Lytechinus pictus: one gene and its partner. The protein of the gene in region 2 interacts with the protein of the main gene of each other region in a biochemical or structural test. Links are inferred from orthologs where the notes say so. Each region holds a gene or a part of one and is shown on either strand. Other genes may lie near its edges.

Region 1 (16,870 bases), on a different chromosome or scaffold from region 2:
GCAAGTCGCGAGCCAAAATTTTTATAAGGCCAAGTCACAAGGATTACCCTCCTTTTAACTGCCATTATCAATATGTTACTACATTATAACCATGTATTTACTCTACATATGCATTAAATTCTGTGAATCCCATAATCTTGAACCATTAATGCTTCTTTCTTTGACCCATGCTATTTCTGCCCATATATCTCTTGAGGTTTTTTTTTTTCTCTCTCAAGGTGTGTATGGCACATTGAGGAGTATAGAAGCATGTTGGAGATATTGAAAGGGGTAGAATAATTGAATGAAATTCACGAATGGGAGAGATGCCGAGGGGGGGGGGGCAAAGATGTTGAGACAGAAAGGGGGTTTGAGAGAAAAGAGGGGAATTAACTATAAAGGAACAGCAGTCAGGAGAGGGAAAGAGAGAGGGGGGAGGAAATCGAAGGAAGATATGCATACGATAAAAGAGTCCTCGTAGAAAAAGTGAGAGAGAGGGGGGATATGGAACTGAGAGATCATAATGAGATAAGAAAGAAGTAGTAGTGCATGGGCGGATCTATCGCCAATAGGGGGGGGGGTGCCAATTCGTCTGCGGCCAACTTGTCCACTCATTACATGGTCTACTTTCATTTAGTCTAATGCCAATCTGTCCATCAACATTTCGTCTAACAGCCATTGGTCCATTAACCATTTGGTCCAATCATCACTTCGTCTAATAACCATCTCGTCTATGACCATTTAGTCTCATAACCGGTTGGTCTAATACCCATTTTATTTTCATTCATTTTGCACAATAATACACTTATAGTCCAATTAGATGAAATGGTATATGGACCAAATGGCTTTTGGGTCCACTGGTCATTAGACGGAATGGCATTAGACTAAATGAAAAAAAAAGACTATGTGGTGAGTTGACGAACTGATGGACCAAACGATAGTAGACGAGTTGGCAATTAGACAAATTGGAAATAAACCGGGGAAGGGGCCGAAAAATATTTGCACCCGTATTTTCCACAATCAGCCGCTCAAAGTTAATAGGGGTAGTCCAAACAGTCACTTCTTTATTCTCATTAAACAGCATACACAAAACACAATATACAATAATCTCATAGCCCCTATAGTGCAAGTGCGAAGCGCGAGCTAAAATATTTTTGAAATTTCATGTTTTTTATCCTCAAAATTGAACATTCTGGGCAATGTTTGTGAAATGGAACAAGATGCGTATTTTACTAAAATTGCTGCGAGCGCGAAGGAGCAAAAAAAAAAAGTAAGTAAGAAAAGAGAGAAATATACGTTCTGGCCTGATCGAAAAGGGACTTGCTAATGGCGGTTTACAGTTAGCCAAGAAGACGATGCATATTTCAATCAAAATAATGCGAGCGCAAAGCTCGAGCTAAAATGTTTGAAATTCTGACCATAAAAATAGACATTCCAAGCACTTTGTGTATGAACAGAACACAGTGGGAGCACGAAGCGTGAGCGGATAACAATTGAGATATATAGACCTAAAAAGGAACACTATTTTATATTTATGTTTTCTAAATCGTGAAAAGGGTGGGTAATTGGTTACCGTCTTACATTATTTTATAATGCAAGAGCGAGAAGAAATTTTTTTATATTCTAATCTGAAGCGAGATAATTTAAGCATGCTGTTTTCAATAAAGGATAAGCAGCCCGTCTCAATAAACATGCGTGTTCTAGAATTTGTGCATTCTTAATACACTTTTTATCACGGAAAATCAATAATGCGAGCGCGAAGCGCGAACTGATAATATTGGATATTCCGATGTGAAAAGGTCAAATTAAGCACTGCACTGTGCAGGAAAATAATCGTAAAGTGGACATGGATTGCTCTTAAAAAATGAGGCGAATGCAAAGCATGAGCTGAAGTTATTCTGGCCTAGGACCGGGACATTCTAAGGACATTTTTTCATCATAATTATGAATGTCTTCCGATTCCTCTTCCCAAGCGCAAAAAGAAACATGTCGATCTTCCATTTTGAAAAAGTGACAACTTAATTACGGTATTAGGAATTAATGAAATGTTATTAATATCTTATTTACTAATCTAATAAGCCTAATGAGAGCTCTAAATTTGTTGATATTAAAGTGTTAACCCTGGACATTATAAGCACTTTTGTAATTATGAATATGATGCATTAATTACCGGTAACGTACTTTTAGAAATTAATGCGAACGGCAATTGCGAGCAAATTTTTAATTTAATAAACTTATTATTAACTCAAAAAACTGTCATGAAAAGGCGATTTTAAGTACTTTGATTTATATATATTTTAGGTATACATAACTCACCAATTTAAGCACGTGCGTGCAATGCTAGCTGATAAGATTTGACAATCAGACCTTAAAAATTTATATTTTGATAAATTTATGGAATAGGGCCTACATGAAGAGGATAGGTACTCCACAAATGAAATAATGCTAGGGCACAGCGTGAGCTAAAAATGTTGATACTCAGATCATAAAACGAATATTTTACAAAGCACTTTTTTATTGATTCGTTATACCTCGGTCACACTTTTTCTACGGCGAGTAGAAAACAGTCGTTTAAACATTTTTTGTGCCAGCTAAATATAGGTGGTTTGAATAAAAATGAATAAAACGGCTGTTTCGACTCTCCGTACGGCCGCCGCAGAGCAAATGTGACCGAGGTATAAATAAAAAAGAATAATGAAAGTTCAATGTCCTAGCTGACCGTACAGTATATGTTTTGTATTTTGACTGCAAAGCTTAAATGTCAAGCTCATATATATCAGCCTATTGAGCAATAATTATGTACTCATCGAAAATGAGCAATGCGAGTGCGAAGCGCGAGCGAAAATTTCAATTTTGCATGTTCTTTTAAATCATCAAAGTCTCCCCTCCCTAATTTTATTCACTTTTCTCCCTCCCTTTTCCCCTCTTCCTTTTCCACTCTCTTTTCCTTCTGTTTCTTCTTCCTTTCTCCATTTTTTGGTCTTTAATCCGCCAACAGGGGGGGGGGGTGACCGCCCCCTGGATCCTTCTATGGTAGCGATGGTGAAAGCATTTGAATTATTCACCTCACAGTGTTAAACGGGGAAAATAGGAAATGGCTAAATTTTGAAAATCATTAATGTGGAGCCCTATTCAAGTTTAGTTTCATCTATATACACTTTGACAGGGGCTGATCCAGGATTTTCCAAAGTGGGGGCATTCAAGACCTAGTATGCTAGGAAAAAATCATTCCATACACAAAATTCCTTGGAAAAGTTGAAAAATAAGTCCTCACTTGAGAATGAACGACAAAATCCACTAACAAATATTTGATATATTACGGGAGGGGGACCTTTATTTGTCTCCCCTTTCCTTATTCCTCATCCATTCCATAGGCAGATCCAGGTGCCGGACCCAATTATGGGCGGCGGCAACCCCTCCTACTGGCTGGCGGTGCGAATTTTTTTTTTTTTTTACGGCGCAGATCGGGGAGAAAAATTGTAGTCCCCCCCCCCCCCATTAGCAAAATTTTGATCTACACCGGGTATTTGTCTGTCGTACCTTCCAGTAAATGAAACAACAAAATAAAAAAAATCACCGTTGCACTAGTATTAAAATTTTTGCGAGTCTTTATTTTTCAAATATTTTTGTTTATAATGGTATTCATTAATTATAATTATAGTGGAGGTTCGCATCCCGAGAATGTGAAATGAAAAAAAGAAAACAAAAATTGCACTGAACAGGAAACACTAAACGTCCTTTTCAATTCCAATTTACTTAAAGTCATTCAAATAAAAAAAATTAGCATAATTTTTTGATACCTTAACTTGTTCATCACGAATACAATGAAGCCGACAATTATTTAGGTTTGTTTTGGATTAATCTTTATAATAATTCACTTCAAATAAAATTCATACATTAACAGGAAAATATCACAGAAAATAATTTTAAAAAATTAATTGCAGTTGTATAAAACATCATAGAAAATAACATGACAGATAAATTTAATCTCGACAGGCACACTGTTCATTCGATCATAAAACAATCGCGCTGTTTCACTCCTTGTACACGCACAACTCTATCAGTGTTGTTTCATCTTCATCTGTCCTCAATGGCAAGGACACCAGCATGATTCATTCACTTCAAATAAAATTCATACATACATATACAGGAAATATCAAAGAAAAAATTATATAACAAATCAATTGCAGTTGCATAAAACACGATAGAAAATAACATGACATATGAATTTTATCTCGACAGGCACACTGTTACATTCGATCATGAAACGATCGCGCTGTTTCACTCATTGTACACGCGCAACTCTATCTGAATTGTTTCATCTGTCCTCAATGCGGCAAACACCAGCAGTGCAGTGACGATAATAAGTTGCAGTTGCACGTGCGCGGAGAATGAATTAAATTCGGCGGCTGAGTAAAGTCTAGCGAGAAAGGTACGTCACCAGCGAACTTCACGATAGACCACGCCTACTTGCCGAGGTAACCAACGTTGATTGACGGCCCATTTAGTTTTTTGAGTAGTATGAAAAAGTACAGGCATGTATAAACTTCATTTTAGTTTGAATTCATTAAAAAAACACATTTTTCTTCTAATATAGATGTTTCAAACATATTCCATGTGGAAAACATAATTTTTAAAACATTTATTGCTATATTTTTATCATGAAAAAAGGATTTCTTACGCAACAACAAATATGATATGTGTGGGCAAGAGAACTACCGTTTTAGCCATAAAGCATATTTTTTATGATTTTATTGTGAGCCTACTCAAGGATTTTTGTTTATTTTTTATGAATTTCCAGACCAAGTTCAACAGCGCCGTCTCGAGCTTGCAATAACGCATGCGATCGCACGCATTTTTCTCCATAGCGAATACACGCGACGAAACTCTGTGGATTTCTCGTGGATTTAACCTCCAAACGTCACTTTCGATACCACATGAAGGTAAGACACTTCATCCCACATAAGTAAATTTAAATATAAAAAACACAGGGCCTAATTTTTTTCACTAAGATGAACTAATTTGCTGAGGAAAAGCATTTCAATGCTCATTTTTGCCGTCGAGAACAGACGATGGTGGCAATGCACACTGTTTACGCACTTGCAATTGACTTTTCATTTGCCCATAGCAATTTTGCTCAGTGGATCGGCAGACCTTTTGGTAACTCTACTTGAAGTTGACGCTTGAGCTTGCCAATACTATATACTACAAACTCAAAAGAAGGAATAATTAAAAACAGTTATATTATAAGCTAGGCCCTAATTATGCAGACAAAGTGTAGAACATCAAGATTTCTGAATAATAGTAGAAGGAAATTATTAAATATCAAACTTGAAAGTAAGCAAAAATCTGTAATCTGCAATGCACAAGCATGGGGCACCACTCATACTGTGATTAATGATTTTATACACGTGTTATTCGAATACATTTATCACGGAAACGTGTTACCACCCGTTCTTATGGCACGGTACCGTAGACCTACACAGTAATGTATCAGCAATAACATAATGCCATCCTCCCAAGTTTGTATCAACTTGTTAATTCAAGGATTTCCATCAAATATGAAAATACTAAAATCAACGGCATTATTTAACTTAATCGTAATTGAATTCAAATGGTACCTACAAGACAAAAATATATAATTACCGTACCGATTCAACTACAAACAAAATCAACGTCAAACAAACCGCGAAGAAGTAAAATCTCGCGCCATCTTGTGACATCCTTCGACCTAGCCTAACGTTGTCGTCGTTAGGCCTACGTTACGTTGAAATGGTATAAAACCGACAGTAAATAATCTTCATTTATCAAATTGGCTCTCCATCAAATTACTATACTCACTACACAATATTTGGCAAAATGAGTCATATCTTTAGTCAGGAGTCGGCAAAAAAAAAAAAATTAACTATACAACTGTTGTCGAATAATATATCACATGCGACATCCTCGCACGGCTGTCAGACCCTGTGGCCTAATGGATAAGGTGTCAGCCTCCGGAGCTGAAGATTGTGGGTTCGAGTCCCATCAGGGTCGAAAAATCATGCCTCATTTTTATCGATAATCAATTAATCGAGATAACTCATGTGACAAAGAAAATGTATTTCTAATCACTGTTATTACCTTTATCATGGTTTTAAATATATTGAATGATCGTTGGTATGTAGGTACAACAGTAGTAGATTAAATCTGAAATTTCAGCAGTTCTCTGACAAGTTGTCACCTGAAATTAATGACAGATTTCTTTGTTTTTTATCGGCTGTGAAGCACACTCGTTTTACTGTTACTATGGTAACTGTGGAATAAAACAGACTGATAAAACATTCGATTAAAGGCCAAGTCCACCCCAACAAAAAGTTGATTTGAATAAAAAGAGCATAACACTGAAAATGTCATCAAAATCGAGTGTAAAATGCACAACTCAGTGATATGCAAATGAGGTGATCGATGTCCCCCACTCACTATTTCTTTTGTTTTTTTTAATGTTTGATTTATACAATAATATTTAAGTTTTACAGCTAGATTTGACAATAATTATTGACTCTTTTGTTTAAACCTCAAAATGTTAAAACAATGATAACTACACATGTTCACGAGGAATAAAACTTCGTACCATATGGTAATGAGGAGGAAATTATAATATTTCATATTTCATGTAATGAAAATACAAAAGAAATAGTGAGTTGATGATGTCATCTGTCTCCTCACTTGCACACCGAACATGATATGAAAATAACTATTTTGTGAGATTAAGCGAAACTTTAAGATATGTCATAAATGTCTTATTTTACATCCGATCGATTTTGTTGAAATTTTCAGTGTTAGGCTTATGCTTGTTTGATTTTTCTCTTTTTATTCAAACCAACTTCATGATAGGGTGAACTTGTCCTTTAAACTCAACCCTGATTTTTTTAAAGGGTGGTTTTGAAAGACTGGTCAATGGTCAATCGCGGGGTCAAACGTATTTAGGGTATGTTTTTTTTTTCCAAAGCTTTTTTTTAAGATAACCAAACGTGTTTATAGGGTATGTTTTTACCCAAGCTTTTTCCTCTTCGTTTCTGAAAAGTGTTCGGGCGCGAGACAAATCTTGTTTAGGTCAAATCTTACCTACCCTCTTTTATCTTGTGCAATGTCAGATCGGCCTGCAATAAGTTTGATGAGTTATCGGCCGTTATCTCATATTTTAATGCAGACATTGCCGCCATTACTGAGACTTGGTTTAGAGATGACTGTCCATGCATCTAATAGTTTCTCCATCCCGGGCTATTGTTTAGGAGCTAAATCAAGATGTGATCGACGAGGTGGTGGAGTAGCGATATATGTGAGAGAGTATTTGAATCATTCTTTAGTCAACATCCAAGTTCCCGACGACCTTGAAGTGACTTGGATGAAGATACGTCCTCCCCGTCTTCCGAGATATATCTCTTGTATTTACTGTGCTGTTGTATACTATCCAAAACCTGATGCAGAACTCGAAAGTGAACTAAATCGTCATTTAGTGAATACTATAGATATTATCCTAACGAATCACATGGATGCAGGAATTGTGGTATTGGGCGATTTTATTCAAATGAACATTGATCCAGTAATTATAACTCATCCTTTTCGACAAGTTGTGGATTGTCCTACCAGAGGAGTTCATATCCTAGACAAGATTTTTACTAATATTCATCAGTATTATCATAAACCAGAAATATGTTCCCCTATTGGAATGTCAGATCATAATTTGGTAAGTTTTAGACCCATCCGAAACCATAGCCATATTATCAAATACTACTCGTTGTGTATTTAATAGACAAATGGCTGACAGTGCAACGGTAGCGTTTGGACGATGGATATCCAATTATGACTGGCCAGAATTAAAGGACCATCTCGATGTAAACGTTTTATGTAATTCTTTTCACTTAACGTTAAATTCTGCAATAAACACATATTGTCCTATTCGTAAGGTGGTTCTTCATGTTAGGGATAAACCCTGGATGACAGGAGAAATCAAATCCCTGATTCACAAGAGACAGATTGCATTTCATCTAGGGAAAGAAAATATTCGGAAGCACTTGAGAAAAAAAAAATTCACTTATAAAGAAATCAAAATTAAATTTCTACTCATCGAGGATCCAGAGACTTAAAAAAAGTAATCCTTCACGATGGTATCAAGAAATAAAGATCCTTACAAAAGGAAACCAAGCATCACTAAACATCCGGGATGAAGGTATTGATCCTAGTGATACAGTGAAAATAGCAAATGCTATAAATGAACATCTCATATCTGTCTCTTCTGACTTAGAGCCGCTTAATATGGCTTGTCTCCCTGCATACCTACAATCAAGAAGACTTCCTGATGTAACCCCATGGCAAGTTAACAAGGCCCTTTTAAAAATCAAAGGTTCAAAGGCTAATGGCCCTGACGGTATTTCAGCGCGCTTGATTCGCCTTTTTTCTGTAGAACTCTCTGATCCTTTAACGTGTATAATCAATGCTTCTTTTAGGCAGGCTAAAGTTCCGGACTCCTGGAAACGGGCCATCGTGGTGCCGATTCCGAAAGTTAATCCTCCAAGTATTGACAAACTCAGACCTATATCTCTGACAGATCACTTTGCTAAGGTTATAGAATGTTTTATAGCAGAATGGATGTATCAAGATATTTCTAAACACATTGATCTTTGTCAGTTTGGAAACCAAAAACATTTATCAACCTCACATTGTTTTATTAATATTCTTCACCATATTTTCTTAAATGCAGAAACACCAAAAACAATATCAACTGTTCTTCTCACCGATTTCAAAAAGGCATTTGACAGAATAGATCACACAGTTGCCATTAAAAAAATAATCGAAATTGGTGTGCGCCCATCGATAGTTCTTTGGATTTCAGATTTTCTGTCTGAGCGTAAACAATGTGTACGTTATCAAGGTGATCTTTCAGATTGGTGCCAGATCAAGGCAGGTGTGCCCCAGGGTTCAACAATTGGTCCCTTAATTTTTCTTATGATGATAAATGATTTCAAAACTAATGAATGTATGCATACGTTTAAATATGTTGACGATTTAACTCTGGTCGAATGTCGTAAATCAAACCAACCTTCAAACATGCAAGAAGCAGTAACATGTCTGCATAATTGGGCTGAATCCAATAAAATGCAATTGAATCCTACAAAGTGTATCAAATGGACATCTGTTTCTCTAGAAATCCAGTTAACCACTATCCACTTAACCTTGATAATTGTGTACTTGCCAGTGTGACCCAAGTAAAATTACTTGGCGTTACAATACAGAACGATTTAAAGTGGGAAGCACATATTTCTGACATTGAAAAGAGAGCAAACGCAAAACCCGCACTTTAGCAAAATACGGTCTTTCTCACGAGGATTTAGTTGCAATTTTCATTGGCTATATTCGACCAATACTGGAATATGCTGCTCCAGTTTGGAGCGGATGTCTCACAATTGCCCAAAGACAACGCTTAGAAAGAATTAAAAAACGCGCCTTAAGAATTATTCTTAGAAATGATTATGATTGTTACACTACTGCTCTTACTCTGTCAAAATTACAACAAATAGAAAAACGTCGAAATGATCGAAATGATCGAGTGTCGCCTTCTTCAAAAAAACTTTATTATTTACAGTTCAGTTTGAACAGTTCATTCCCCAACGATTTCAAACATAAAACCTACGTAAAACAAGAAAGATATACGAACCCAGATGTAAAACAAATCGCTTAGAGACATTCTTTGTGATAAGCGCTATATAAATGATGTTAATTATTATTATTATTAAGCGTATGTGGAACAGCCCAATCCCTGATCTGATCCGTTTGTACAATGAATACCCTTGAATGATTATGCTTTTGGTATTGTATATAACTGTTAGGATTATTTGTCATATCATATTCATTGCCGTAACTTGCCCTTTCTTTTTTATGTATTTGCTATGTGTCCTTGTCAGGGTCAATCTTACCCTCCCTGATGGTTTTTCTTTTTCTTCTTTTCCTACCTAATTTCTCTAACCCTGTACTCTTTCCTTGCCTTCTTCTTTCCAGAAATCTTTCTTGATCCTGACAACACAGTTATATATGAATGTGATTTTAATAGTTTTAATTGTATCATAAGATTAATGGTATACAGTATACTGTATTTTATCTACTTACACACTTGAACATTGTATTGTAAAATGTATTCAATGAAATGTATACTTGTATTTTTAGCTTTGTAATTCACATGTAATTCAGTTTGTTAACTGCAATATGTGGAGAATTTTAATAAATACCATTTATCTATCTAGCTATCTATTTATCATATTCTGTCGACAACCTGTTCTGGGGCCAAAATGTGTAAATGAAGCCCGCGAAAAACTTGTTTAGGAGGTTATTTTGCACACAGAGAAAAAATCATTTAGGGGGTGTTTGGAAACAATTTGGTCACGAATGTGTACAGCAATACATTTGACTGCCCCCCCCCGGGACTTTTCCATTGTATTCATTGGCAGGTTTTAATTTCATTTCACTATATATTTGGCAGGGCTTGAACACTTGAAAAAAACTAGAGGCTTGGCTAATTTGTAACTCTTTAGTCTTCCCTATATATACCCAGGCGCAGATCGGGGGGGGGGGGGGGGTTGATTGCTTACCCCTTAAAAATTGCAACCCTAAAATAAAAGAATCAAAATGGATTTAGGCCTATTTTCGAGTGACGACCTTTATTTCTTTCTTTCTTTTGCTTGTAAAATAATTCTGGAGATAAAACACCCTTAATTCATTTAGCAATGCTTTTGTATTTTTGAAATACAAATTAATGCAACGAATCTCAGGTATGACTCAAACTGGATTTCATAAGCAATATAGACCTACAGTAACAGAGATGTGCTTATATAGACTAAAAAACAACTAAGGCGGCGTCTGGGGGCTTGAGAAATTTTAAACGTTGATTTATTCAATACAATTGAAATGGCCTATTATGGGCAGCATAATAAGTGGGAGACTATACTGATCTGACCAAACAGGGAGCTTAGCGACCGAGGAAACAAGGTCACATATTTAAAATGCTTGAAAAAAAATTTCCATAACAATTCCATCTGCATGTAACACCTATTAGGCCCCAAGTGATATGTGGATGAGGGCATGCGATTTCACTTCAAGATAAAATGGGACAAAAAAAAAAGAAGGAGCTTGCGTTGTTACTCTTTCCAGGCGTTTAGTGAGTCAAGTGAACTGAACGATCTGAACATCTGGGTGGCACTTTTAAGCTTCCATAAAGAACTCCTACTTTCAAGAGCTTTATTTTCAAATACAGAGACCTTTGAACGAAATATTTCCGGTTATTATAACCGGTTAAGGAAGGTTTATTGGTAATTCTAACCGGTAAAATCGGTATTAGGTTGATTTAATTGGTTTTACGGTTATTTTTACCGTTTTTAAAATGAATCTGACTGTTCATATTATTTTTCTAGTTAATTTAACCGGCTTAAAACAGTTTTTAAATGGTTTTTAAAGTATTCCCGGTTAGTTCTACCGGTTAAGGATGATTAACCAGTAATTTTAACTTGTTAAATCCGATTTAGGGTGTTTTAAATTGTTTTCCGGTTATGTTAACCGGTTTAATAGAGTTTTTAAATGTTTTTAAAGCAATTCCAGATGTCTTAACCAGTTAAGGAAGGTTTATCGGTAAGTCTAATCGGTAAAATCGGGATTAGGTTGTTTAAATGGTTTTACGGTTATTTTTACCGTTAAAAAATGAATCTAACTGTTCATATTACTTTTCTTGTTAATTCAACCGGTTTAAAAGAGTTAAGGAAGATTTACCGGTAATTCTTACCGGTAAAATAGAATTAAGGTTGTTTATAATGGTTTTCTGGTTATGTTAAAACAGTTTTTTAAATGGTTTTTAAAGTATTTCCGGTTAGTTCTACAAGTTTAGGATGGTTTACCGGTAATTATAACTTGTTAAATAGGTTTTAGGTTGTTTTTAACTGTTTTCCGGTTATTTAAGCCGGTTTTAAACAGTTTTTAAATGGTTTTGAAAGTATTTCCGGTTATTTTAACCGGTAATATAGAATTAAGGTTGTTTATAATGGTTTTCTGGTAATTTTTACCGTATTTAAAGCGATTCTAACTGTTCATATTACTTTTCTGGTTATTTTAACCGGCTTAAATTTATTTTTGATGGTTTTAAGTGGTTTTTAAAGTACTGGTATTCCATTTTGTTTTTTGTCATTTAATTTCTTCTATTTTTATTTGGGCTATACCATGTTAGTTGGGTTATTCTATTTTGTTACTTAATTATTAGTTAACTTCTTTTTCATTTGGGCTATTCCATATTCGTTAGGATATTCCATTTTGTTTTTTATTATAAAATACCTTTTTTTATATTCAGGTTATTCCATTTTGTTTTTATGATTGAATTCCTTGTTTTAGTTTAGCTATTCCATTTTGTTTTTTATTATAAAATTCCTTTTTTTTATTTGGGCTATTCCATTTTAGTTGGGTTCTTCCATTTTGTTTTTTATTATCACATTACTTCTATTTTTATTTGGGTTATTCCATTTTGTCACTTAATTAAGTTCTTTTTTATTTGGGCTATTCCATTTTTTTTTTAATTATTAAATTACTTCTACTACCAATATAAAGCATAGCATAGCTCCACGTTGAGCAAGATACTGTAGGTTTCACGAGCGTAAAAAGTTTCCCATAGACTCGTGTGCAAAGTGGCACTTATTAAAAAATATCATTACAAATAAGGATAAAATTCGGAATCCATATCAATCCATATCTGACCAGAAACGGGACCCTCGACCAGCTCACTCTAAAAATAAATTGGCATTTATGATGACATATCTCCAGAGGGATCACATTCATCGTCTGAAACATGAAAATATCCCTAATCCTTCCGCCATTCAAAAATTGTTCAAGAGTTGGCGATATATCTTCTCAGTTTGGGAAAAGAAAGTTGCATCGTCACCCTCCATAGAATTGGTGTTCGATGGACAATCATATTCATACACTTTGTCAATCAGCCACATAAAAATAAAAAAATGAGAATGGGTTGGCTCGAATGAATATCTTTTGCCTTCCAGTTGTAAATAGGCCCATCCGAACACAACCACTCAACTAAATTGGTATACTCTGTTGCATATTGTTTGCTGTCCTCTATATGCCACGGATTTATACCCCACTTCTCATATTTTTTATGCATGTCGACCCCGATCTCAATAAAACTGAGATTGCGATTAAGATCTACTCTTTCTGTACTCAACAAAATAAAATCAAAGTTTAAAAAAAATCACAAAGAACTGCGCAAATCGTGGTAATACATACAAATTAAAAGATATATGAAAAATGGAGCTGAAGTGACTTTTGCTTGTAAGTAGGTCTTATAATATAATCGGGAAAGAACCAGTGGCGTAGCTACGGGGGGGCCTGGGGGGGGCACGTGCCCCCCCTGAGATTTGGTGTGCCCCCCCAGGTGCCCCCCCTGAAAAAAAATGGCAGAGCAAAAAAAAAAGGGAGAAAGAAGAAAAGAAAAAAGGAAAAGAAGAAGAAAGACAGAAGAAAAAAAAGAAGAGGAAATAAGAGGAGGAAGACGAGTGAATGATATAATGTGAGGGGAAGACTTGCAAAAAAAAAATCCTTCATGTTACTTTATAAATTTTTTTCTTGCGCTTCGCGCCAGAATTGCCTGTTCGATGAGATTCATATCTTGCTCAATAGGCTGATATGGAGCAAGTTTTGAAGTCAATATACAAAACATATTTTAGCTCGGACATCGAGCTTTCATTATTTTTTTTCATTTACAAATTTAAGTGCTCTGTAAAATGTCCATTTTATGGTCTACATATCAGCATTTTAAGCTCACGCTGCGTGGTCACATTGTTTGATTTGCCAAGTTCATATTGTCTACGTGTCCCGGCTACGTGTATTCCATAATGTTCCATTAAACAAATGTATTCAGAATGCCCAGATTCTAGGTCTAAATCTAAAACATGCGCGATAGCCTGCATGTTCTTTATTTAAAATGTACTTAAATTATCCAGTTTCACATCAAAATATCAATAATTGTCTGCTCACGCTTCACGATCGCATTATTAATGATACCCAATTAACTATATCCTATTCATGATTTACAAAATATGAATATAGTGTCCCGCTTTTAGGTCTAAAATCTCAATTTTCTTCCTCTCGCACTTCGCGCTCGCATCAATTGTTTAGTTACATAACTATCCCATTTATTAATACAAAAAGTGCTTAGAATGACAATTTTTTTTAGGTCGGAATGTCAAAAAAATTTGCTCGCGCTTCGCGCTCGCATTATTGAAATATATACCATCTTCCTTAACAGGTCCCTTTTCGATAATGCTAGAACAGTTAATAAAAATTTCTGCTAACGCTTGGCGTTCGCAGTAACCATCTAGTTACATACGAATCTTCTTCAGGATCACACATAACATTGCCCAGAATATCACATTTTCAGGACAAAATACATGAAAGTTAAAAAAAATCGCTCGCGCTTCGCGCTCGCACTTTTTATAAGGCTTATGAGATTATTTCATGTTTATGTTGTTTTATAAGAATAAAACTGAGAAGGGACTGATCGGGGAAAATATAGGTGAAGATAATTTCGGGCCCCGTCCCCTATTGGCGAAAGCCGGATCCGCCCTTGTGACACATACACACACCGGAAAAATGGTGCCCCCCCTGAAAAAGCAAGGACCCCCCAGTGCCCCCCCCAGGAAAAAAATCCTAGCTACGCCACTGGAAAGAACGGAGGAGCATGCCAAGGAAAAGCCATGTTTGTACGGGAGGCAACCCCCTGTAACTTAGTTTCCTAGTGTATAGGCAATATGCAACAAATATATAATACAGCGTCACCGTCGTGACATCCCCCCCCAAAAAAAAAAAAAAAAATTAAAGCAAATTATCAAAAGTTACAAGGAATGAGTGACACTATTTTTAGGTATAAGAAATTAATGATTGGTAATGAAATGAACAAATAAGATGATAATAATGAAAAATAAAATAATAAGATAATATTACTGGTAAAATTATGATAGTGAGATAGAAATAAAGAAACAAAGAAGAAAGGCTGGTTGTAGGTAAAACTGGAAGTTCAAGGAAGAACATGGCAGATGCATTGACAGGTCTCGCCAGGCAAGTTCTATCCTTGGAATAGTAAAAAATGTAAGTACGTGTATGAAAAATTTACCTCGTACTTTTCCTTTCAGTGTTAGTTATTTTTGTTAACTTGACATGCTGGTGTGAGGACAAATAAGCATCCTTTTAAAGTGTGTGTTTATAAATATTGTTGCTTGGAGACTCCTTAAAATTCCTTCGGACGGGCCTGTAATGGAGACATCGGTGCGGGGCAAACTCAATGTTGTACCGAAAATTTGTTTGGCCTAGTCACATTTCGGAGATAATTTTCCCCTTATTTTCTTCAGGTTTCTAGGATTGTGATATCGATGATAATTTATCTTTTTTGTAATACTATGGAATAATTATCTAGCATTCATTCGTTCATCCATGCTTTCATTTATATATAAACAGTATCAGGAAGAAACCATTTCACAGCTACATGCATTTTTCACATAAAGTTAGCCACAAAATCTTCATTTTGCCTAATTTAGACCCTGTCTTGTACTATGTTGGTCCTTTTTACATGACCCCTCCGGTTATTGTCCCTTTAATGTCTATTTTCAAACAATTTCACAGCTACATCTCCAACATAACATTCTTAGTATTCCGAAATTGTTAGGCTACTATTGTGACCAATTGTCAAAATGGTAGAGAGGAATGTAGGCATAATTTAACAAATGACGTGAACGCAAAGCGCGAGCTGATATTTTCCATATTTAGATTTTGAGACGTAATATTGTAAGCACTTTTTTGTGATATTAAACATGATACTTATGTCTAATTAAACAAGGAATGCTAGCATCAGCAGCTGGAAATTACTGATAGTTATACCTAAAAATTTGACCTTTTAAGGACATTTTAAATCACATGTTGCGCATCTAACTAAACAATTAATGCTAGTGCGAGTTTTTTTTTACGTACGGTCCTAAAAAAGGGACATTTTCAGACATACGAAGGGTAAATATGATCAACTATCAGTTCCCATTGAAAAGTATTTTTTTTAAATGCCTTTCGCCAGCCATCGCAAGGCATATTTTAGGCAATTTGATTAGGTGTGAGGGGGCTTTTAAATTCCTCATTTTAAACTGTCTTCTTTTCTTCTTTTTAGTCCTAAAATTTCCTCCTAGTACACTAGGCTCATTTCTTCTTTTTAGTCCTAAAATTTTCTCCTTATACACTAGCATCATTTCTTGTTTTTGAGTTCTCAAAATTCGTACTTGTACATTAGCCTCATTGTTTGTTTTTAAGTTCTCAAAATTCTTCCTTGTACATTAGCCTCATTTCTTGTTTTTAAGTTTTCAAAATTCATTGATCCTTGTACATAAGCCTCATTTCTTGTTTATAAGTTCTCAAAATTCCTCCTTGTCCATAAGCCCCTCATTTCTTGCTTATAAGTTCTCAAATTTCCTCCTTGTACTTTAGCCTCATTTCTAGTTTTTAAGTTCTCAAAATTCCTCCTTGTAGTTTATTAGCCTCATTTCTTGTTTTTAAGTTCTCAAAATTCATCCCTGTACACTAGCCTCATTTCTTGTTTTTAAGTTCTCAAAATTCCTCCTTGTACATTAGCCTCATTTCTTGTTTTTAAGTTTTCAAAATTCCTCCTTGTACATTAGCCTCATTTCTTGTTTTTAAGTTCTCAAAATTCATCCTTGTACACTAGCCTAATTTCTTGTTTTTAAGTTCTCAAAATTCCTCCTTGTACATTAGCCTCATTTCTTGTTTTTAAGTTCTCAAAATTCCTCCTTGTACATTAGCCTTATTTCTTGTTTAT
Region 2 (16,109 bases):
CCAGAGTTTAAATTACACCAATAATACTACAAGGGGAAGATTGGACACTTTGGCGATTTTTTGAAACGCTCGATAAATGCTCATGGGGAAGGACGTCCACTAGCGTTGAGTAAGTAAACCATCGCTCATCGGCACGCAGCTGTGTATAAAACATATGATGGAAATGAGAGAGGGGACTTTGGAGAGGGCTCAAGGGTGGCACATGGGAATAATTCCACCTTTTGAAATACCCAAAACCCTCTGAACATATATTCATCTCTAATTCAAGGAAGAAAAATTTGAAGAAAAAAAATCTTAAAATGTGAAAATCGTCTATTCCTTCAACCCTTCACCATTTCTCTCTAATGTTTTGTACACAACCATCTCGCAATAAGCAAAGGTATAAAAAGGTTGTTACTTGCTCAACGCTGTAGAGCGCTCTTCCCAAGCGTTTCATTGTGCGGTCTATGTACTGTCTTATCTTCCCCTTGTAGTATCTTTGATTAAATCTAAGTTCAGAATACAGGCCAATGAGTCTACTGAAGTCATTTTAATATCCATCTTACCTGTTGTCTGTCCATGCCGAGACCCTCTAAAACTCTTTGGTAGTTGAACTCTTGAACAGGCAATTTCCTATCAGAAATTAGAAGACAGGATATTCCAGTTTTATAAAAGAATGAAAGCAAGCTATCTTCAAGCTGTCCAGAATATGAATGTAAATATAAATTGAATGAATCTTTCAATATAAGAATCTTTATTTTCATCCCTCCTATTCATCTTTTTTCTTTGCACTTAAAGCCTATCTCAATCTTTGATAAAGGGTAAGTAATGTGAATTATACTCAAGTATCATCAATCATTGCAATATTACAAAAGCAAAGCAGTCAATTAATTCTTTTCCTACCCCATTAGAATTTGCATTTTACAGGCCATTAAGATTCAAATTTAAATCAAGCTTCTTCTTTCTGTGATGTTTTACATTTTTATTCAAAATAGCAGTTGGAACACTTACTTTGCATATTTAGAAATTGAATATTAAAAAGCTACTTAGAGGCATATCCTAAAATTGTTAGCCAATTCTATTCTTGAGGTGTTTTACAAAAATACAGACACATTATTTTGTTCAGGCACCCAATCAATTTAAATTTTAACGTAAAATCTGAAAATTTGCCTAATAAAACATATTTTTAGTTTATATATATATCCTTCACACCACAACCATTTTGGGGCACATGCATTAATATAATCTAGTAATGAAATAAAATAGTGAAAAGCACTTTTTTTTTGGGGGGGGAGGGGATTAACCAAAACTAAAGATCTATAGGCTTTGATCATGGTGCTAGTACCTTGCTTCACTGGCTGTCAGATGTCTGAGTAGAACATTGCCACCAAACGTCAATGCATCCATGTCTTCAGTGCCTACCCCATACACTTTGCCTTTCTTCACGAGTTCACAGCATTGTGCTTCTGCTTCTCCTGGTGCCTGGATGGATTGTGGAATACAATTCGTACAGATAACCCTTTGATTACCAAGTCCTGTAATTCCCAAAGGTTTGGTATAGAGATCATCCAGTTCTAGTAAGCAATGTGTTAACACATTGACTATCGAATTGTGCGATTCCCATAGGTTTCGTTGAGAAACCATCCGGTTCCAGTCCGCAATGAGTTCATGTCAGCCTTGTCCATGCCTGGGCACAGTTTCATAAAGAGCTTCTAAACCATGAGATCATGGCAAATACCACAGTAACAGGGCTCAAAAGCCAATCAAAATCAAGGCTTTCAAGGGGGTTTACCAGTCATAACTATTTACGAAAGGGAACCCTGATACAAGTTATTGATCAAAAAAATTAAAATTTCACCATCCTCAAATAAATTTGAAATTGAAATAACATTATATTCTTGATTTATTTAACTGAATTCATTAACTATTAATATGAAACACTCTAACCAGCACCTAAAACAAGAGAAACTACTACACTGTAAATAAAAACATTTGAACAGTTCTAATTTTCATTTTGAAACCCATTAGTTTTTAGAAACCGATGAAGCATCTTTGGCTCTATGAGCCAACCATAACAAGGGAGACTTCTAGTACTAGGCTGATAAAAATGACAATCTGTAACAGTCCTTACATATTGGAACTTTTTAGTTATAAAAAGTGATGTTAAAAGCATCTTGGGGTGGTGATACAAATACACTGAAAGTGAACTGAAGTCGGTTTCGGAGGTGGCTCGACTTATGTATACCATCTCCCTTTTTTTGATTGCCGGGCTGACACCGGCTCGGACTGAATAAAGACCGAGTCCACCTTTGTATGTGGTTTGAAGGAACCTTCACGCTGATTTAGTCCTGCAATTGGTGTGTGTTTCACCCCCAAGTGAACTCAGGCCGGCTTGACCACTAAACTAGAAATAGCGAGCAAAAGTCATCGCTAACGAACAATAGAAAATGTTGATATGAAAAGAAAGGCGACTTGGAGCCGGCTTTATGTGCATAAGGGGAATGATGATGTCGAGGTGGCTTGAGTCCACTTTGCACGTATGTGCATCACCATCCAAATTGCAGACGTGAAGGGGGCTTCAAAGCCGGGGTCGGAGGCGGCCTCAAACCAGATGCATATGTATCGGCTGCATGTGTATCGGGTCTTTTGACTCTGTGAACTAACCTTAACAAAAGGGATACCCATGAGCTTGAGGAGGTGCTGACACTCCTCATTGTGTTGCTTGGTAACCTTCACCAATCGTTTTTCAAATTTATTGACATTCTCCTGGTCTCCTTGCTCCTTGGCCTTCTCCAGCTCCTTCTCAGCCTCTGCTCTCATCTCCCTCCTCTTTGTCAGTTCTCCAGATTTCATTTCGGGAGGCTTCCCATCGAACACATAGCTGAAGGGTAAGAAATAATACTACTACTACTATTCTACTTTACAATAGCACTGGAGCAATGTCTCGAAGTGCTTTTATTACCCAGGCCATTGGATTATTGCTTGCCTGCACAATCTCCGCTCTCTGTGGAGTATTCCAGCAATGAGTAGGCCTACTGGGTCAAAGGTGGAAATAAACGGTACAGTTCCATGGTAGTTCAATTTCTGTATTATATCAGGACATTCTCAGGGGAATCCTGCCCAGACATTACAATGTTTAAAGAAACTTGAAAGATCAGAGAAGCTGATAGGAGAAATTTGAAATATTGGACAAGAGAGGAGGGTTTATTTATTTCTGAGAATTTTACAAATTTACAATCACTACACCTTACAGGGATTTGAAATCAAACCATTTATCAACATTCCATCCCCTTTAAACCTTGAACAGTATAGGTTCCTATTGGACATAGTAGACCCTAATGATCCGAATCGGATCTTAAAGACTATTTTCATTCCTTATATTATAAAGCATTAAGCAGCAGATTTTGGTTTATCATTTGAATGAACAATTAAGTATCTGGCTCTGGAGATTAATGGTAAATTGACTACCACTTTGAGCAAATTAATCATCTAAGAATAGAGAAGGATGGTTCTATGTGGGTGAATCATTCTTACCAAGGTTTCAGTCCATTCTCAATCATCCTGATAGTACGATAAAACATTCCCATAAGGTGGCTGCGAATAAAAATGAAAAAAAAATGTGGGTAAAGGTATATAATAAATATTAGTAGGATGTGGAAGAATTTATAAGTAATCTGTATGCCTTCCAGTTGGTTCTTCTAGATTAACTTTCCACCAATGTCAGTGATGGGATATAGGAGTGGTTTTCATTGTACTCCTTCCCCTGTAACACTTTCATGGTAGACATAAGTCTCCAGTGAAACTTTCGTAGTATGAGATGTGGGTACCCAACCTGGTAAGTATAAAATACTTGTCATCAATTAAGGGGGGGATGGCAAATATAAATTCTCTTTGACTTACTTTTTTTATATCGGTGAACTTAATCAGTTGTGTAATATAATATTGAAGTTAATTTATTATATAATTTTGAGTGTGCATAAAAAGATCTACATGAACTTTGAACAAGAGTGAACGAGGGATCAAATATTACCTTGTAGTTTCACCTTCTTCATTTGTAAGTACAGACCCATCCTGACGTACAGCAATCAAGAATTGGTAAATGCACATAGAAGCATCAATGGCAACTTTACGGCCTGAGGGAAAAATAATATGAAATTAATATCAGGATTGTTTCGCTATTTGCATTCATTTATCAGATCTTTATAGGAAACTCATGAATATGCATCTTGAGCCGCGATCCCCGAGCATGTGCAATTCGCGTTTAGTAGAGGTGCTGGTCCAAAATTTGGAATTGTCTCAGAAAACAAGGATATCCTTAACCAAGACAAATCATGTCTTGATAAATTAGGATTGTCCTTGTTCATGGGGACAGTGTTTTTTCACTTTCCCCTGCGGGACATAGACGGCAATTACGGGGATTGAGATTGCTAAAAATAGATTCAGTGAAACCTGATATGTTGACTAACACATGACAGGTGAATGAACTTTCTTAGATTTGTGTGGAGAAATCTTTGAAAACTAAGACAGTCCCTGAAAACTGGTAAAGACAACATGACATGTGTTTATAAGTTCAGCAAAAAATTAATAAAGAAATAAAATGTTACTAAACACGCAAAATCATTTATTTATTTTTATCAAATTTTTTTCTTTGCTTCCTTGTGAACGTTGGAGAGATATTATAAAAACTGTTTAACATTTAAACGAATGGGAATATAATAATAACAACTAGGTATAAAAATATAATTACAAAAAATACTAGGCCGATATATTTGGATAATATTGGTGATGTCTTTTATAAATTCTACTAAGTAAAGTGTGTGCTAGCTGAATGTATCCTCAAATCAACCTCAAGTTGAACTGGTTATTTTCTCTATATGATGCGGATTATTTCAATTGTGTTTGCTGATCATTCTCATTTTCATGGTTATTTTCCCTATATGATGCAGATTATTTCAATTGTGTTTGCTGATCATTCTCATTTTCATGGTTATTTTCCCTATATGATGCGGATTATTTCAATTGTGTTTGCTGATCATTCTCATTTTCATGGTAATTTTCCCTATATGATGCGGATTATTTCAATTGTGTTTGCTGACCATTCTCATTTTCATGGTTATTTTCCCTATATGATGCAGATTATTTCAATTGTGTTTGCTGATCATTCTCATTTTCATGGTTATTTTCCCTATATGATGCAGATTATTTCAATCTTCCGATCGCGGAAGAATGGTCCTAGGACGTTCCTACGTATTGTTTTCTCGTCATGAAATAGGCCAGGCCCCTTGTTTTCAGGGACAATCCCAATTTTTGGACCAGCGCCTCTACTGATGATGGATTGATGATGATGATTAAAGTTAATTTCAGGATGACATGACATTGAGACACTGATTGATGAATGATTGACTGATGATTGACAATGATTGACTTTAACTTAGGTTCCTCCCCTGGACCGCGCCAATTCTTCAGACGTCACCGTTTATCACCAGGAGCTGGACATAGAGGAACAGAAGATCCTGCATCCAGAACTGAACCTTATATGACTTTATACATTGCAAAAATGTGGAAATGCATGTTTGTACATATCATTTGTTCGGGATAATTTCATTTTCATAACTAACATAATATAATTATTAAAAAAAAGGAGCAAACCAAGTGAATTCAATTTAACATCCACATTAATTGTTTAAAGATTACATTTGAAAAGAATTATTGATGATAATATAAGCTAAGCAATAGGTATGATTTCTTTCAAAAATCGAAATGAGTGGAAAAAATATTGAAATTCGCCTTATTAATTATGCACTAATTTGCATTTACATGGAATAATTGAAAAAACGTAGGTCTAACGTTAATTAGTCTTATCTTGAGTCTAGTCTACCTAGAGAAGAACACAAGCATGATAAGGCATAAGCAGAAGTACAAACATATCATCATATGTATTACTTTTGATTTAAAACTGAAAATCATGTGACATTGCTACTTATGTAACCTTCTGTCTGTATGTAAGATCAAAAGAAAATTCTAAATCTAAGTTTCAAGTAAGTTACTTAGACCTAGTCTTACTCTAATAGTAAAAATACTATAGTTTCAAATTCAAGTACAAAGTACAAAAACACAGTGCTACTAAACTAAAGTAAATTTAATAAGATCTTATTCTTCTTGTCTTACCAAAATAACTTTTAAATTCATGTTCTTTCACTGCTCCTGGAGCACAGTCAGCAATTAGTCTTGAAAGATTTAGAATTCCCATCTTAATTAGACGTCTTAATGTATTTTAAATTAGCCCTTCGATGTGATTTAATTCGTAAACAATGTACAGAACTGCAGAGTCAAGAAATGACAAGAGAAAACAGCATCACTGGCATTCAGTGGCTGGCATATGTCATCAAGGCGCGCGCGAAAGTTCGCGGGTATTTGCACATGGTGATTACTCCACTGAGTGCTTCCTGTCATTCATTTTGAAACAAACTTAGCCTATGTCAAGTGAGCCAACAATAAGCCAGCCAACAGCAAGCCAGCCAACAGTTCCAGCCAACAATATTGCGATATAAGATAGATCAGATACAGGATTTTGCGCACGAAGAGAAGCGTGCATTCTTGTACAAATCAAACAAACGGGATCAGGGCTACACGGGCCTAATCACTAGTGGCAGGCCATAGATATTCATTCGAGCCAACCCATTGCTATTTTTTTTAATTTTGATATGGCTGATTGACAAAGTGTATGCGTATGATTTTCCATCTAACACTGATTCTATTTTTGGTAATTACTGAACTTCTTTTTCCCAAATTGAGGAGTAAATTTCAACTAACAGTCCTCTTTATAAAATACAATTGGAAGATTGCTCCTGAAATATATTTTGGGTGTGTAGGGGGGTTTCCCTTCTTTCAATTTGTAAAGAAAAACAACGGGCTAGTGCTTTAGTTTTAGTAGCCCACACCCCTATATACTCTATGTGTTTTCGTATATTGAGGAGTAAATTTCAACTAAAAGTCCTCTTTATAAAATACAATTGGAAGATTGCTCCTGAAATATATTTTGGGTGTGTGTAGGGGGGTTTCCCTTCTTTCAATTTGTAAAGAAAAACAACGGGCTAGTGCTTTAATTTTAGTAGCCCACACCCCTATATACTCTATGTTTTCTCGTATATTCAGGAGTAAATTTCAACTAACAGTCCTCTTTATAAAATACAATTGGAAGATTGCTCCTGAAATATATTTTGGGTGTGTAGGGGGGTTTCCCTTCTTTCAATTTGTAAAGAAAAACAACGGGCTAGTGCTTTAGTTTTAGTAGCCCACACCCCTATATACTCTATGTGTTTTCGTATATTGAGGAGTAAATTTCAACTAAAAGTCCTCTTTATAAAATACAATTGGAAGATTGCTCCTGAAATATATTTTGGGTGTGTGTAGGGGGGTTTCCCTTCTTTCAATTTGTAAAGAAAAACAACGGGCTAGTGCTTTAATTTTAGTAGCCCACACCCCTATATACTCTATGTTTTCTCGTATATTCAGGAGTAAATTTCAACTAACAGTCCTCTTTATAAAATACAATTGGAAGATTGCTCCTGAAATATATTTTGGGTGTGTGTAGGGGGGTTTCCCTTCTTTCAATTTGTAAAGAAAAACAACGGGCTAGTGCTTTAATTTTAGTAGCCCACACCCCTATATACTCTATGTGTTTTCGTATATTGAGGAGTAAATTTCAACTAACAGTCCTCTTTATAAAATACAATTGGAAGATTGCTCCTGAAATATATTTTGGGTGTGTAGGGGGGTTTCCCTTCTTTCAATTTGTAAAGAAAAACAACGGGCTAGTGCTTTAGTTTTAGTAGCCCACACCCCTATATACTCTATGTGTTTTCGTATATTGAGGAGTAAATTTCAACTAAAAGTCCTCTTTATAAAATACAATTGGAAGATTGCTCCTGAAATATATTTTGGGTGTGTGTAGGGGGGTTTCCCTTCTTTCAATTTGTAAAGAAAAACAACGGGCTAGTGCTTTAGTTTTAGTAGCCCACACCCCTATATACTCTATGTGTTTTCGTATATTGAGGAGTAAATTTCAACTAAAAGTCCTCTTTATAAAATACAATTGGAAGATTGCTCCTGAAATATATTTTGGGTGTGTGTAGGGGGGTTTCCCTTCTTTCAATTTGTAAAGAAAAACAACGGGCTAGTGCTTTAATTTTAGTAGCCCACACCCCTATATACTCTATGTTTTCTCGTATATTCAGGAGTAAATTTCAACTAACAGTCCTCTTTATAAAATACAATTGGAAGATTGCTCCTGAAATATATTTTGGGTGTGTGTAGGGGGGTTTCCCTTCTTTCAATTTGTAAAGAAAAACAACGGGCTAGTGCTTTAATTTTAGTAGCCCACACCCCTATATACTCTATGTTTTCTCGTATATTCAGGAGTAAATTTCAACTAACAGTCCTCTTTATAAAATACAATTGGAAGATTGCTCCTGAAATATATTTTGGGTGTGTGTAGGGGGGTTTCCCTTCTTTCAATTTGTAAAGAAAAACAACGGGCTAGTGCTTTAATTTTAGTAGCCCACACCCCTATATACTCTATGTGTTTTCGTATATTGAGGAGTAAATTTCAACTAAAAGTCCTCTTTATAAAATACAATTGGAAGATTGCTCCTGAAATATATTTTGGGTGTGTGTAGGGGGGTTTCCCTTCTTTCAATTTGTAAAGAAAAACAACGGGCTAGTGCTTTAATTTTAGTAGCCCACACCCCTATATACTCTATGTTTTCTCGTATATTCAGGAGTAAATTTCAACTAACAGTCCTCTTTATAAAATACAATTGGAAGATTGCTCCTGAAATATATTTTGGGTGTGTAGGGGGGTTTCCCTTCTTTCAATTTGTAAAGAAAAACAACGGGCTAGTGCTTTAGTTTTAGTAGCCGACACCCCTATATACTCTATGTGTTTTCGTATATTGAGGAGTAAATTTCAACTAAAAGTCCTCTTTATAAAATACAATTGGAAGATTGCTCCTGAAATATATTTTGGGTGTGTGTAGGGGGGTTTCCCTTCTTTCAATTTGTAAAGAAAAACAACGGGCTAGTGCTTTAATTTTAGTAGCCCACACCCCTATATACTCTATGTTTTCTCGTATATTCAGGAGTAAATTTCAACTAACAGTCCTCTTTATAAAATACAATTGGAAGATTGCTCCTGAAATATATTTTGGGTGTGTAGGGGGGTTTCCCTTCTTTCAATTTGTAAAGAAAAACAACGGGCTAGTGCTTTAGTTTTAGTAGCCCACACCCCTATATACTCTATGTGTTTTCGTATATTGAGGAGTAAATTTCAACTAAAAGTCCTCTTTATAAAATACAATTGGAAGATTGCTCCTGAAATATATTTTGGGTGTGTGTAGGGGGGTTTCCCTTCTTTCAATTTGTAAAGAAAAACAACGGGCTAGTGCTTTAATTTTAGTAGCCCACACCCCTATATACTCTATGTTTTCTCGTATATTCAGGAGTAAATTTCAACTAACAGTCCTCTTTATAAAATACAATTGGAAGATTGCTCCTGAAATATATTTTGGGTGTGTGTAGGGGGGTTTCCCTTCTTTCAATTTGTAAAGAAAAACAACGGGCTAGTGCTTTAATTTTAGTAGCCCACACCCCTATATACTCTATGTGTTTTCGTATATTGAGGAGTAAATTTCAACTAACAGTCCTCTTTATAAAATACAATTGGAAGATTGCTCCTGAAATATATTTTGGGTGTGTAGGGGGGTTTCCCTTCTTTCAATTTGTAAAGAAAAACAACGGGCTAGTGCTTTAGTTTTAGTAGCCCACACCCCTATATACTCTATGTGTTTTCGTATATTGAGGAGTAAATTTCAACTAAAAGTCCTCTTTATAAAATACAATTGGAAGATTGCTCCTGAAATATATTTTGGGTGTGTGTAGGGGGGTTTCCCTTCTTTCAATTTGTAAAGAAAAACAACGGGCTAGTGCTTTAATTTTAGTAGCCCACACCCCTATATACTCTATGTGTTTTCGTATATTGAGGAGTAAATTTCAACTAACAGTCCTCTTTATAAAATACAATTGGAAGATTGCTCCTGAAATATATTTTGGGTGTGTGTAGGGGGGTTTCCCTTCTTTCAATTTGTAAAGAAAAACAACGGGCTAGTGCTTTAGTTTTAGTAGCCCACACCCCTATATACTCTATGTGTTTTCGTATATTGAGGAGTAAATTTCAACTAAAAGTCCTCTTTATAAAATACAATTGAAAGATTGCTCCTGAAATATATTTTGGGTGTGTGTAGGGGGGTTTCCCTTCTTTCAATTTGTAAAGAAAAACAACGGGCTAGTGCTTTAATTTTAGTAGCCCACACCCCTATATACTCTATGTTTTCTCGTATATTCAGGAGTAAATTTCAACTAACAGTCCTCTTTATAAAATACAATTGGAAGATTGCTCCTGAAATATATTTTAGGTGTGTGTAGGGGGGTTTCCCTTCTTTCAATTTGTAAAGAAAAACAACGGGCTAGTGCTTTAATTTTAGTAGCCCACACCCCTATATACTCTATGTGTTTTCGTATATTGAGGAGTAAATTTCAACTAACAGTCCTCTTTATAAAATACAATTGGAAGATTGCTCCTGAAATATATTTTGGGTGTGTGTAGGGGGGTTTCCCTTCTTTCAATTTGTAAAGAAAAACAACGGGCTAGTGCTTTAGTTTTAGTAGCCCACACCCCTATATACTCTATGTGTTTTCGTATATTGAGGAGTAAATTTCAACTAAAAGTCCTCTTTATAAAATACAATTGGAAGATTGCTCCTGAAATATATTTTGGGTGTGTGTAGGGGGGTTTCCCTTCTTTCAATTTGTAAAGAAAAACAACGGGCTAGTGCTTTAGTTTTAGTAGCCCACACCCCTATATACTCTATGTGTTTTCGTATATTGAGGAGTAAATTTCAACTAAAAGTCCTCTTTATAAAATACAATTGGAAGATTGCTCCTGAAATATATTTTGGGTGTGTGTAGGGGGGTTTCCCTTCTTTCAATTTGTAAAGAAAAACAACGGGCTAGTGCTTTAATTTTAGTAGCCCACACCCCTATATACTCTATGTTTTCTCGTATATTCAGGAGTAAATTTCAACTAACAGTCCTCTTTATAAAATACAATTGGAAGATTGCTCCTGAAATATATTTTGGGTGTGTGTAGGGGGGTTACCCTTCTTTCAATTTGTAAAGAAAAACAACGGGCTAGTGCTTTAATTTTAGTAGCCCACACCCCTATATACTCTATGTGTTTTCGTATATTGAGGAGTAAATTTCAACTAAAAGTCCTCTTTATAAAATACAATTGGAAGATTGTTTCTTTCGTATATTGAAGAGTAATCTAGAATGAATTTTCTTTCTGATAAAGATTGATTGGAAGATTGCTCCTAAATCAAATTTCGGGTGTGTGAAGGGGAGTTTCCCTTCTTTCAATTTGTAAACAAAAACAAATGGTTAGTGCTTTACTTTTATTAGCCCATTACAGACGTTTAGCGAAAAATGTCAAGGGGGTGGGGGCTTATTAAGCTCCCCCCCCTCCTCCTCGGGCTAGATAGGGTTAAGGGGGCTACAGCCTTCTCCCCCATTAACCCCACTTTGTTTTGTTTTGAAGCAAGATAATACGCGAAAAAGAGCATTGTGAAACAGAAATATATTTCGCACTGTATAGGCTTTTTAAGTGGTGTATAATGCAAATTAATTTTCAATACCCAAGAAATTTTCTCGCTTGGTCACTTGTTTCTATAGCTGTTATTCTGACTCTCTTTTGTTATCAACACTGGCGTACAGATGGAGAGGGGGAGGGCTTTTGTGGGCTGGAGCCCTCATAAATTCCAACCATTTTTTTTTTCAATTCCCTCGAAGTTGTATATAAAAAAATATGAATATATATATATATATATGTATATATGTCCGTGTGAGGGTGTGTCAGTGTGATGGTGTGTGTTTGTGTGTGTGTGTGTACGCGCACTTGCCACTTGTTAATATAAACGTATTGAAGGAATTAGGGAACTCGCTTCACATACCCGAAATTTCTTTATGGATCAATCTTCCCAGGAGGGTGGGATCACTATTTTTTTTTTTACTTTAGGACTAGCCCCTTGTTTGTAACCCTAGATTGCAAATATGTGAAACCCCCTACAAACAACTGAAAGCTCTACCAGGAGCAATCTTTCTATTTGCTTTCAACAGGCAATCTTTTTCCATTATATCATTCTCAATATTTTTAAAACATCGAGTATATTATAGGAGTGCGGGCAACTAAAAAAATCAGCCCTAGCCCTTCTTAGTATCCAAAAATTGAAATGAGGTTTAATAAACTTCCTACAAACAACCGAATGGTCTTCTAGGAGCTATATTTCCGTTTGCTATCAGGAGGTTTTTTAATTTTACTTAATCCCCAATTACTGTCAACAGTAAAATAAGGACAAAAAAGGATATAAATAATATATAGGAGTGTGGGCTACTGAAATGTAGGCACTAACCCCCCCCCCCCCCTTTATAAACGAATTGACAGAAGGGAAACTCCCCTCCACAAACACCCGAAATTTCTTTCAGGGGCAATCTTCACTTTTGCTTTTCAGTCAAGAATACTTTCATTTTTATTCACCCCTCAATAGTAAAAAAGAAATACTTTTTAAAAGGGCGCAAATAATAAGAGAGGGCCAGTGAACCTTATCTAAGGACAAGCCCCTTCATTCTATCAATACAGTGCTTATCAATAAAAACTGGACAGTTTTGAAAAGTCTATCAAAAATTAATTTAAAATTATGATGTCTATATTTTGATGTTTATAGATGCTCTGAAACCTTATATTTTAAATGCAATTTTAAGAAATGAATTTTGTTCATGCTTGAACGAACACGAGATTTGTCAAGGGTTCAAAAATAGGTTTGTGCAGAAATGAGAGGAAACAAAATATATGGTCATTAGACTTCCTGCTAAGCAGTAAACTTCCTCTTAACATTTTCATTATCTTTGCCATTGTTTTTAAAATTATGTTTCAAAATTCACTCACAAACTTATTTAGTTACTTAAAAAAAAAAGTTATTTTTTAGGATTGCATATTTAATAATTAATAAAAGTCAACCCAAGAAATGCTTAATTGCATTTTTTTTGGCCTCAATTAGAGGATTTTATTTACAACAAAAAAAACATAACACATTATGAAAATGAGCATACATGACATTACAGGAAATTTCAGAAATCAAAACAAAAATTTACATAATAATGTAATTGTGCAATAATCTTACGTAATCTTTAACATAAATTAAAAAAAACATTAAATGGAAACATGAAATTCACAGTGTTTCAAATATATTCCATAATTTCTTTGGGTAGATGAACATATCTTTTCCTATACCGAGGTTTCATTTCTATTCTTCTTTCTATTTCTCTTAAAAATATGAATTTCAGATCCAGTTTAATTTGACCAGTAAAATTATTACTGGTCCAGCAAAAATTGTACTGGTCCAGTTTAATTTGACCAGTAAACTTATTACTGGTCCAGCAAAAATTGTACTGGCCCAGTTTAATTTGACCAGTAAAATTATTACTGGTCCAGCAAAAATTGTACTGGTCCAGTTTAATTTGACCAGTAAAATTATTACTGGTCCAGCAAAAATTGTACTGGTCCAGTATAATTTGACCAGTAAAATTATTACTGGTCCACCACAATTTGTACTGGTCCAGTTTAATTGGACCAGTAAAATTATTACTGGTCCAGCAAAAATTGTACTGGTCCAGTATAATTTGACCAGTAAAATTACTGGTCCACCACAATTTGTACTGGTCCAGTTCAATTGGACCAGTAAAATTATTACTGGTCCAGTTAGTTTGACCAGTATATTTGTTACTGGTCCAGTTAAAATTATACTGGTCCAGTTAAATTTGACCATCAAAAAATTACTGGTCCAGCTTATAGCAGACCAGTATATTTTGTTCCAATTTTCAGAGTTACCAATTAAATTTTACTGGAGTAACTGGTCCAGCCGTACTGGTTTTTCCTTCTGGGATTGCCTCTCTTTTCGTTTCCACTCATGTTTCTTAAAACGATGACTTTGTGAATGCACCAAAGTGCGATAGTCAGAAGTAAAACTAATTTTTTGTCTACTTCATGTTTAAACAAAATTTTAATGATTGATTTCTAAATATTTATGAAATATTTGCTGGATTATTTTTTTCAAAAATTCAAAGAATGGTTTGTTCAAATCACAAGAAATGAAAGCGTGATGAATATCTTCCTCTACTTCACAACGAGAACAGATGTTATCATTCACCAAACCCCTAATTGTTAATTGTTAGTTGTTAATAGGGTGAATTTGCTGTACTTTATTCAAATCATTATAATTGTGTGTTAGATAGGATATTAAATTATCAATTCTAACAGAAAAGGATTTATCTGCTTGTTGCATAAAATAAAATGATTTGAATTGATTACAAGCTCTCAAATTCCTAATTACAAATTGGGTCATTCTTGGTTGACAAAAAATGTTAGTATGAAAGAATATTCATTGCTAAAAAAATAATTTATTGAAATGAAAAAGTAAAGTAAATATACAGCTTTGTACGTGACATTTGCGACCAAAATATGAAAACTATGGCAAAAATAATCTGCTGATTGGCAAGAAGTCTTATAACCATACACTTCATTTCCTACCACTTAGCGCAATCCTATATTTGAACCCCCAACAAAACCATCTCGTGTGCACTCAAGCATGAACAAATTAAAAAAAAAACATTTTGAATTTGATCGATAAGATTTCAGAGTATCTATGAACATCAAAATATAGACATCATATTTCAAAAGGGTATTTTGATAGACGTTTCATATTCTGTCCCGTTTTTATTGATACGCACTGTAAAATTGAATAAAAAGGGTCACCCCTTCAAAAATATGATAGCTCTCTTCATTTGTCAGGAACTTTTTTTTTACATACTCCTCAATATTCTTAAAACTGGAGTATATAGGAGTGTGGGCTACTAAAACTAAAGTACTAGCCCTTTCTTTTTGTTTACAAATTGAGAGATATTAACCCCCCCCCCCCTCCACAAACCCAAAATATATTTAGGGAGCAATCTTCCAATTGTATTTTATAAAGAGGACTTTTAGTTCAAATTTACTCCTCAATATATATAAAAACGTGGAATATATAGGAATATATGAGTGTGGGCTACAAAAATTAAGGCACTAGCCCGTTGTTTTTCTTTACAAATTGAAAGAAGGGAAACCCCCCTCCACACACCCAAAATATATTTCAGGAGCAATCTTACAATTGTATTTTATAAAGAGGACTTTTAGTTCAAATTTATTCCTCAATATATATAAAAACGTGGAATATATAGGAATGTATATGAGTGTGGGCTACTAAAACGAAGGCACTAGCCCCTTGTTTTTCTTTACAAATTGAAAGAAGGGAAACCCCCCTCCACACACCAAAAATATATTTCAGGAGCAATCTTCCAATTGTATTTTATAAAGAGGACTTTTAGTTGATATTTACTCCTCAATATATATAAAAACGTGGAACATATAGGAATGTATATGAGTGTGGGCTACTAAAACGAAGGCACTAGCCCCTTGTTTTTCTTTACAAATTGAAAGAAGGGAAACCCCCCTCCACACACCAAAAATATATTTCAGGAGCAATCTTCCAATTGTATTTTATAAAGAGGACTTTTAGTTCAAATTTACTCCTCAATATACGAAAAAACCTAGAGTATATAGGGGTGTGGGCTACTAAAACTAAAGCACTAGCCCGTTTTTTTTTTTACAAATTGAAAGAAGGGAAACCCCCCTACACACACCCAAAATATATTTCAGGAGCAATCTTCCAATTGTATTTTATAAAGAGGACTTTTTGTTGATATTTACTCCTCAATATATATAAAAACGTGGAACATATAGGAATGTATATGAGTGTGGGCTACTAAAACGAAGGCACTAGCCCCTTGTTTTTCTTTACAAATTGAAAGAAGGGAAACCCCCCTCCACACACCAAAAATATATTTCAGGAGCAATCTTCCAATTGTATTTTATAAAGAGGACTTTTAGTTCAAATTTACTCCTCAATATACGAAAAAACCTAGAG

The links.
Region 1: the proteins of flap endonuclease 1-like (region 2) and checkpoint protein HUS1-like form a complex in vitro, tested with the Homo sapiens proteins (2 studies listed by BioGRID). The link is inferred for Lytechinus pictus from reciprocal best matches to the Homo sapiens genes FEN1 and HUS1.

The regions. Positions count from the first base shown.
Region 1 is NC_087247.1:32,718,306-32,735,175, forward strand, and holds the start of checkpoint protein HUS1-like, read right to left. Parts: upstream 5,965-16,870; 5' UTR 5,821-5,964; intron 5,733-5,820; exon of another isoform or gene 5,605-5,732; intron 1-5,604. UniProt on the Homo sapiens protein: Component of the 9-1-1 cell-cycle checkpoint response complex that plays a major role in DNA repair. The 9-1-1 complex is recruited to DNA lesion upon damage by the RAD17-replication factor C (RFC) clamp loader complex.
Region 2 is NC_087246.1:25,350,776-25,366,884, reverse strand, and holds the start of flap endonuclease 1-like, read right to left. Parts: upstream 6,602-16,109; 5' UTR 6,230-6,601; coding exon 6,148-6,229; intron 4,113-6,147; coding exon 4,010-4,112; intron 3,574-4,009; coding exon 3,514-3,573; intron 2,861-3,513; coding exon 2,644-2,860; intron 1,462-2,643; coding exon 1,325-1,461; intron 613-1,324; coding exon 546-612; intron 1-545. UniProt on the Homo sapiens protein: Structure-specific nuclease with 5'-flap endonuclease and 5'-3' exonuclease activities involved in DNA replication and repair.